Linked DNA regions of Tribolium castaneum. The protein of the gene in region 2 purifies or fractionates together with the protein of the main gene of each other region. This does not show direct contact. Links are inferred from orthologs where the notes say so. Each region holds a gene or a part of one and is shown on either strand. Other genes may lie near its edges. The genes, in order: pescadillo homolog and Noc3.

Region 1 (4,318 bases), on a different chromosome or scaffold from region 2:
AAGAATGTTTATCCAAAATAAAAATAAATAAGATATCACGAAATTAGGTCTTAAAAATGCTGTTTTACATTTTATGCTCTTTTTGAGTTAAATTTCAAAGTATATACTTTTGGAGTCTGAGTTTCCAATAACAATTTCGTTCACGAGAAAATTGCATCAAAAATCCCTTTATTTTTATTTATGTTTCTTGTGTTACGTTTTTTTGTTTTGTTATAATTTTACGTGCTAAAAATTGACAAGGTTGTAGAAAAAATTGTTATGTAACTCAAAAATACTTAGATGGGGCTATACTGCTCACTGAAAAAAATTATGCAACTGACTATCATTTTTGCTTTCTAGAACTAGAACAATTGACCGGCATTGCAGCAATTCTCCGCTTCCCAATGCCCGAACTCGACGAAGACGATGAAAGCGAGACCGAAGACTAATCATGTCAAAAACACTGGTTGTATTCGCGTTTTTAACTCTTTGTTGATCATTTTTAAATAAATTAGGGAATTTGTTGTATATTTTTAATTGTTATGTGAATAATTGCTGTAGATTTTTAGTGAATTCCTTCAATTCTATTTATTTATAAGATGTACAATTAAGTAACAGGAAGATTACTATTTATTGCATAACTTAATCCACTGAAATATTTTATGTACTTTATAAAAAATAAAATAATTATGAAACTGACGCGCTTTTTTGTTGTTTCTTTTTCGCTTTCTTTTCTTCTTTTTGTTTCTCATCGTGTAATCGTCGCTTCTTCCTCAACAACCAAATCTCTTTCGCCCTTTCTTTGCGGCCGGCCATCATGCTCTTGTACAGTTTTCGGTGTTTGTTTTTAACCAACTTTTCCCTAAGTTTATATTCCTGCCTCTCTTGCCGACTCTTCTCCCAAGGAACTTCCTTGTATATTTCACCTGGAGTTACCTTTAATTTCTTTTTCACAGGCGCCGTTTCCTCCGCTTCAACTTCTTCATCCTCGTCTTCTTCTTCCTCTTCTTCAACTTGTTCGTTCGTTGTGTCTGCATTTTCAGTTTCTTCTTCTTCTTCGTCTGCATCCTCATCACTTTCTCCCTTCTTATGCAACTCCTCCAAAGCTTCAGGATCATACAGAGCCTTTTCCTCCGGAGGCATATACTCCTGATGCCGCCCTTCGTTAGTAAACGGCGATAAATGCGGGGGGAGAATCTCCCCCATAAAGTATTTATTAACAGGGAGGAGTTCCCTCGCATTAACACTATCAAAAATCCACTGGGGCTGAACGTAATATCGTGAAATGTATTGCTTCTCCATTGAGGGTCGATCAACAATTTGGTGCGTAATCGACTCGTCATTTTCATCAAACGTGGCCCCCACAAAAAGTAACTTATCCCACGAGACTTCGCCCCCGAAACAACGGATAATAAACACGAGAGGTTCTCTTGGAACTTCTCGATTCAAAAAGAACTTCAGTCCCTTGAAAAGTGTCTTCAATTTTTTTATTTTTTCAGCCTCAATTCGCGCCTCTTCGATTTTCTCCGGACTGTTCTCAGTGTTGAAATTATCAATTTCGACTTCGTCCTCAATTGCTGAATTCGTACTTTTGGATAGAGGGAAATTAAGGGCTGCCACACGTTCTGACACAAAAATCCCCTCGTCTACGATTTCTTTCTCACTGTCTGTTTGGCTCAAATTTGTGAATTTGGGAGGATAGTAAAGATTTAATTGGTGGTAGAGCCGGAAATTGACAAAACCCAACATAATCGTGTAAAACTCGACAAAAGTCGACATTAACTTAAAATCGACTTCGGCCTTGCTCTGGGGCTCGAACGCGAAATGGTGGGGCACAATCCACGTAATGGTCTCACCTTTGATTTCCGCTTGGTAGTAATACCCCTTGATTGAAATAAAAACTTTCCTTAGGGCCTTGGCCTCGATCACCGCGTGTAAAAACTCAATTGTGAGCCTCTGACACAGCGCACTCTGGTCGCGGGGGACGTGAGGGATTGACGGAAACGTACTGAACAAGAAACACAAAGTGAGACAGTCGTCCAGGTCGCGCAACGCGTCCAAAAACGTGGGGTATCGCTCTTTGACAATGTGGTCGAGTTTCAAAGTTGGGTGGTTATTCAGGTATTTCTTCAACGATTCGAAGTCTTTAACAGCTCGGGCACGCCCGACTTTCTTGTTGAAGATTTTGTAGTCGCGAAGGCGCCAAATCATGGGCTCGTGTAACAGAAATTGGATGTCTTTGACGTGGTAGAGGGTTTTGATACCGGACTGGCCCTTCTGGGCACGTTTGCGGTTTCGGGGCTCACGGGGGTAGATGCCCTTAAGGATGCAGATGCGGCGGAAGTCGTTGAGGGATAATTGGAGCTTTTTGAGGGCCGCTTTGCGGGTCATGAATTGGGCACCCTCGCCGGTTGTGTACTACAAAGTGATAATGAAACATTTGAAATGGTAAGGTAGGGGTGGTGTTACCTTCTTTTTGCGTTTGGAAACCATGTTTTAACAAAATAATACACTAAAACGTTAACAACTGGAGAAATGCCAACACGTGTTGTTTTGAGGTTAGAGTCCGCGAAATGACAGATCGTCCACGGTGGTAGGAGTGCGCAGAGACGAAAACTCGTCTCGGACGAGTCCAATCTTTAAATTAGGGGTGTTGGCAGAAAACAGTGGCGTGGCGTGTACTTACATCTGTAGGGAATTCGTCTTAAAGTTTAACATTTCAATATTACCAGTTATAGTAAAGATACCAGTAGAAACATTTTTTGCAATAAACGCGTTTTTACTCTTTACTCATTGTGTATTTTTATTTATTCGACCTCTCTGCTGTGTATTTTTAGGAAATCAACGTGTATTAGCATTAGATATGATTTTTACTATTTCATCTTGCAATTATTGAATAGAGGAAATTTTAACTACTACAAATTATGAATCTCAAACCCTTCTTGATCATAGAATAGTTTTTTGCTACGCCACTGCTCAATCTCCTCACTCATGGCCTCCTTGATGTATGGAGACAACTTCGTTGTTCAGGCCTGGCGCATCGATAAGCTTCAGCGGTTTTTTCGAGACCGTAGATGGCGCCCTATTTAGCGCACTGACGTTTATCTGACAAATAGCATTTGTGAGGTTAAATCCGACAAAAAAATTGAATTTAACAAGTACAATTAGCAGAAGAGAAGGTGAAAAAGAGCTTACAATGTAATTGTAAACAAATACAACAATAAATACAAAAACTCAAAAAAATTAATAAAGTAGTAGATTTTTTTCGGGAGTTTGGTGATTCACGAGCGGTGCGTGAGAGTGAGCAGAGGTCTAGACAGGGACTATAATTAACTATAATCTATGGCAGGGACTTTGGAACGGACGGTCCAGAGATACTCCAGCAGAGAGTAACGCAGCAGAGGAACGCTGGATCGAGCTTTTTTAAACCATTTCATTTGAAAAAAACGACATTCTTTGTACATTTTACTAAAATTAAATTAACAATAGCAGGTTTTGAAAATACGTGTGTGCAAAATAGTTTCATTTGCCTAAACAATGTATTGCAAATATCTGCTGATTAAAAGGTTGCAAATACCTTTCAGAAAACTTAAGCCATGTCTTAAAAATCACAGATTTGTAACGCATTCTACCTAAACCATTGGTAAAACCATATAGTATGCCTAATAAATGAAAGGTACTTTGAAACATCGTTTTCTTTAATATTTATAAACGATGACGAACCACCAATTCACCCTAAAATAATTTGTATATCTTCTGAAGCTGAAAATAAAAAATCCTAATGATCGTAAAATGATTTCCTGCAAGAGTTACACTATCCAAACGTTCGTTCAGGGCACAACTTTAGAATTATCCTCACATTTCCTACGTATTTCACGAATGCACATTTACATCTTTCAAATTTATTAGTCTTTAACCTCAAAATTGGTATTTGTCAAATAAACGTCAGTCCGCTAAATGCAGCGCCAGTGGAGAATCAGCCGAACTTAGCGATGCGCCAGGCCTGAACAACGAAGTTGTCTCAATACATCTAGGAGGCCATGGCTCCGCCTATCGTGGTCGTTTACAGAGTTTCCGAGCTCTACCACTAATTTTCGCACTAAAATTTCACATTGCCAGTTTCTGTTTAAATATAAACATGCATTTTTATTTTTCCATTAACTGCATGCGAAACTTTTATAATTTTAGACGTTTATAGACAAATACATTTGTCATAATTTATTTTTCTAGATCAATACTGTTCTATTTTGAATAATTCTGTGTATGAATGTTTCTAAATTTGACGGATTTGGACAGTGAATGTTTCTGGTTATGACTTGTTTTAGACGTGTGATGACGT
Region 2 (4,270 bases):
TCACCCAAATGGCTGTTTTATGACTTTGCTTTTTAAAGAGGCATTACTTAAATATATTCACCAGTCAAAACAAACTTTTGCAAAATTGTGTATCTTCGATCATAGATAAACACAAACTTTGTACCATGATGTCTGTTTGAGTGACACAAATGCAGGTTTAACAGCCCTATAGAAATTTATCAAGCGGAAGAATCGCATTTTGCGACCCACAAAAGTCGGATCTTAAACGATTGTTTGATCAGACTGGGGATAATAATGTTAAACAATTTATTTTTATATGAAAGAGCAGCGCAAAGGTAGAGAATTTATGTATTTGCATAGCAAGTCGCGTGACAAAAAAATATTTCCCTAATTTTATTAAAGTAAATGTTTCTGAAACCGTATTCGGAGTGCATTTGCTAATGTGTAACCGCAGAGAAAAGCCCAAAGAGCGGTGGTTGGGCAAATGCAGCAATAACGAATTTAATTACAATCCATTTATCTTTGTTTAGGCCCTACTACAAAACACAAGTCAGAGTTTGAACGCGTAATTGGTGGGTTTTTCGTTCTATTGGCAAAGTTTGCTCCAATTCGCCGAGATGATGATAAATTTGGCGCAATTAGTATTCATTAGTCGCTTAGGGGTTGATAAATCACCCCTGTACACACATTTGGCGCCCACACATGAAGGATTTTTGTTGATGAGACAATAACGTATTGTTCTTACCTTGGCTCACGGCGATGCCAAGAATCAACCAACTCCACACTTTGTGCATGTTTACAAAGTTTCCAAACACACAGATTTTACATTATTGGTGCAGAGTTTCAAATAAATTACATTTTTGATTTTCACATTGTTTGGATTAAAAAAAATGAATTTTTGTAATTTTTTTTGAGCCGCAGCCGCACGTAATTTTACGCCGAAAGCTCGAAGTCAATATTTGGAAAACACACTTCCGGTTCTAGCGACGGCTGTACAGCATCTGATTCTGCCGTGATCTGTGATGTAGCCAGACGCCGCGACGGCAGTGGAAGGGCAGAACAGACGCCTGAAAAATCCAGTTCGCGCCAAATACGAATTCAAGCTTCGAAAGCTTTTGGGCAAAAATTAACAATTATTCATTTTATTTGAATTTTTTATCGCGCATATGGAGTATATAGAACTCATATGAGGGTAAAACGTACTTTTTCTACTTTGGTATCACAAACTGTTCATTGTGAAACCGAAAGAAGTTTCACAAAGAGAACTTTTGTGTATAAAAGTCCGGACAATTAACAAAATTAAAAGGAAATAATTTAAATCGATTTTGATAAGTTTAACTAAACAAAAAAAAGTATAAGTTATAACACTTGTTCTAATGAACCACGACGAAGGAATTCGAACTAAGCCGATTTCTGGCAAACTTTGTTTCGACTATCCAGAAATTCTCCAGTTCTGGATTGGAATAAACAACGATTGAGGTTAGGTGGGATTATAAAAACGTGTTTAAATTTGCAAAAAAAAATAAAAAAATGGGAAAATTGCAACATTCCGAAAGTGAGGAGGAAAATGATAGTGATTATGGGGAGGACATGCTTGAAATGGTCGAAGAGGACGACTTGGACTTCCTCAAAAATGCCATAACTTCAAAATCGTACAACATTTTCAACAAAGTCAAGTATTCCGGGTGAGATTTTGAATAATGTATAGGAGATTTTGCTCAAACCCCAGATTTTTCAAGTGCCCCTAAACCCAAAAGGCGCCGCTTAAATAATGAAGACTCGGATCTGGAGAAAGAGTTTGAGGAGCAAACTGTTGAAGACACCCCCATGAAAAATCTCCTACCCATCAAAACTAAGTTTGGAATTGTGCCGCAACAAATTGAGGACGAGTCCGGTTTGTTTAACTTGTGGGTGACGCTAAATTCTATTTTAAAAATTTAGGCGAGAAATCTGAAGATGAAGCCGAAGAAGACGAAACGCAGGAGCAGTTTGACCTAGTTGACGATAAAATTGATATTTCGAAACCAATTCCTGCGGCACATTTATTGGCCGAGCGACAGAAAGTTTTAAGAGAGAAAAAAATTCACATTGGGACTTTGAGTGCCGGTGTTTTGGAAAATCCCGAAGAAAAAGTAACAAATCTACGAACTTTACTCAAACTAATGGATGAGGAAAGTAGCGAAGTGTTTTTCACTGTGAGGAAATTGGCCACTGTGTCGCTCCTAGAAGTGTTCAAAGACGTTTTGCCTTCATATGAAATCAAAAAAGTCAACAATGATGGAGTGAAATGTTGGTATTTTTTACGATTGGTTTTGTGTTTAATTACGGTTTTTAGTGAAAAAGGATACATTAAAATTACAAAAATATGAAGAAAGTTTAGTGCAATATTACAAAAAGTTTTTGCAAAAGCTTGAAAAGAACTCTTCGGTTTTGCTCAAGAAAAAAGGTGACACAAGAAAATTTCACGAAGTAATTGATTTGTTCTTGTCACGTAATATTTCTCTGATATTTTTTTTCATTTGTAGGAAGAAATTAAATTGGCTGAACTAGCAGTGCAGGCATTATGTGACTTACTAGTTGCACACCCTTATTTCAATTATGCCCAAAATATAGCACAAGCTGTTGTTCCCTTCTTAAATAACGTAAGAAGTAACATACGGGAAATTGCAAAAAATGCAATAAGAACAGTTTTCAAGGAGGATAAAAGGGAAGAAATCATACTAAAGGTGAAAATAATAAAAAATTATTTACTTTTGTAACGTTTTATTTAAGATTTTACGAATAATCAACGCCTATTTAAAAAACCGAGCTCACAATGTTCATCCCGACATGTTAGAGACATTCCTTGTTCTTAATTTACGAGACGTTAATTTAGACGAGGAAAAGGAGCAAGACATTAAACAGAAAAAATTGATGGCACGCAAACAAAAAGTACTACAAATGTCCAAAAAAGAGCGCAAACGTAAGAAAAAACTTCAAATGTTGGAACAGGAATTACTAGAAACTAAAGCTGAAGAGAACAAACAGTCAAAACAGCGCAACTTGACTGAAATCACAAAAATAGTTTTCGGGGTTTATTTCAGAATTTTGAAAAGTTCGACCAATAATAAAGTTCTGGGCGTTTGTCTAGAAGGCCTGGCAAAGTAATTGTTTAACTCGCGTCTTGATTGGTGGGAACTTTGCCATGACATCAAATTTGACACTGTACAACTAGATTTTCTTAACTTTTATATTTTTTTTTCAATTTTGATAATTTTGAAACAATAAACAAGTTATGAAAAGAAAAAATTAGGTTCCAATTCATCATCAACTTAAAAAATTACGAGATTACGTCGCTGTGGTGATTCCCTATCAATCAAAGCGGCTTGGTTTAAGTTATCAAAATTATTAACAATCTCCAATTTCAGGTTTTCTCATTGCATAAATATAGAATATTACTTAGACCTTGTCAACATTTTGGACAATTTATTGAAAGAAGAGTGGATCGGTTACAGAGAGCAGTTACATTGCGTCCAAACTGTTTTTTCTATTCTGAGCGGACAAGGAGAAGCTTTAAATGTAGACCCGACTCGTTTTTACACCAATTTATACAAAGGTCTCCTCACAACCAACGCCTCTAAAAACCACTCAAATTTTCTTATTCTTTTGAAAACACTCAACGATGCTCTGATCAAAAGACGCAAAAAAATAACAAATAAAAGGACGCTCAGTTTCGTGAAACGTTTGGCCACTCTTAGCTTACAATTGTTGCATAATGGTAGTTTAGGGAGCCTTGGTCTTATCAAAAACATAATGCAGCTTAACAGAACAGTGGATATCCTCCTAGACTTGGATAATTCGTTCGGAGACGGAAAATATCAGCCAGAACTGGAAGACCCTGAATATGCGAACGCGTCAAGTACCGGTTTATACGAACTGAATTTGTTGGTGAGACATTACCATCCTGTTGTCACCAAATACGCCAGAAATATCGCTTTTGGGGTCCCCGCCACGGGGGAAGGCAGCCTTGACCCCGAATACGCCAAATGGTAAATAAAAAAATTTGAATTCAAGTTGGTAACGCCGAATTGTTTTGTTTCAGCACACCTGAGCAACTCTACCACGATTTTGACATGTGTGAAATGGCCTTCAACCCCCCTGTCCCTGTCCCCAAAAAAGTGGCCCCTAAGGAGAAGCACCAAAAGCACCTATTTGCCGATTCGGCCTTCGAGAGCCAGTGCAAAAGTATAGTTAGGGCACATTTGAAACGCAAAGCGAGTTTTTTGTAAAATAAAAGATAAATTTTTTGAATTTATTAGAAGTTGGTTTT

The links.
Region 1: the proteins of Noc3 (region 2) and pescadillo homolog purify together in Homo sapiens (affinity purification with mass spectrometry; 3 studies listed by BioGRID and IntAct, counting the BioPlex papers as one, with this or other methods). This does not show direct contact. The link is inferred for Tribolium castaneum from reciprocal best matches to the Homo sapiens genes NOC3L and PES1.

What each region holds. Positions count from the first base shown.
Region 1 is NC_087395.1:18,780,099-18,784,416, forward strand, and holds pescadillo homolog, read right to left. Parts: upstream 2,776-4,318; 5' UTR 2,473-2,775; coding exon 2,449-2,472; intron 2,398-2,448; coding exon 667-2,397; 3' UTR 542-666; downstream 1-541. Other genes in the region: pelo (protein pelota), read left to right, coding at 340-428. UniProt on the Homo sapiens protein: Component of the PeBoW complex, which is required for maturation of 28S and 5.8S ribosomal RNAs and formation of the 60S ribosome.
Region 2 is NC_087396.1:23,831,225-23,835,494, forward strand, and holds Noc3 (nucleolar complex protein 3), read left to right. Parts: upstream 1-1,388; 5' UTR 1,389-1,491; coding exon 1,492-1,646; intron 1,647-1,700; coding exon 1,701-1,855; intron 1,856-1,902; coding exon 1,903-2,250; intron 2,251-2,296; coding exon 2,297-2,430; intron 2,431-2,486; coding exon 2,487-2,687; intron 2,688-2,733; coding exon 2,734-3,104; intron 3,105-3,368; coding exon 3,369-3,989; intron 3,990-4,042; coding exon 4,043-4,229; 3' UTR 4,230-4,255; downstream 4,256-4,270. Other genes in the region: Hasp (complement factor H), read right to left, coding at 707-755. UniProt on the Homo sapiens protein: May be required for adipogenesis.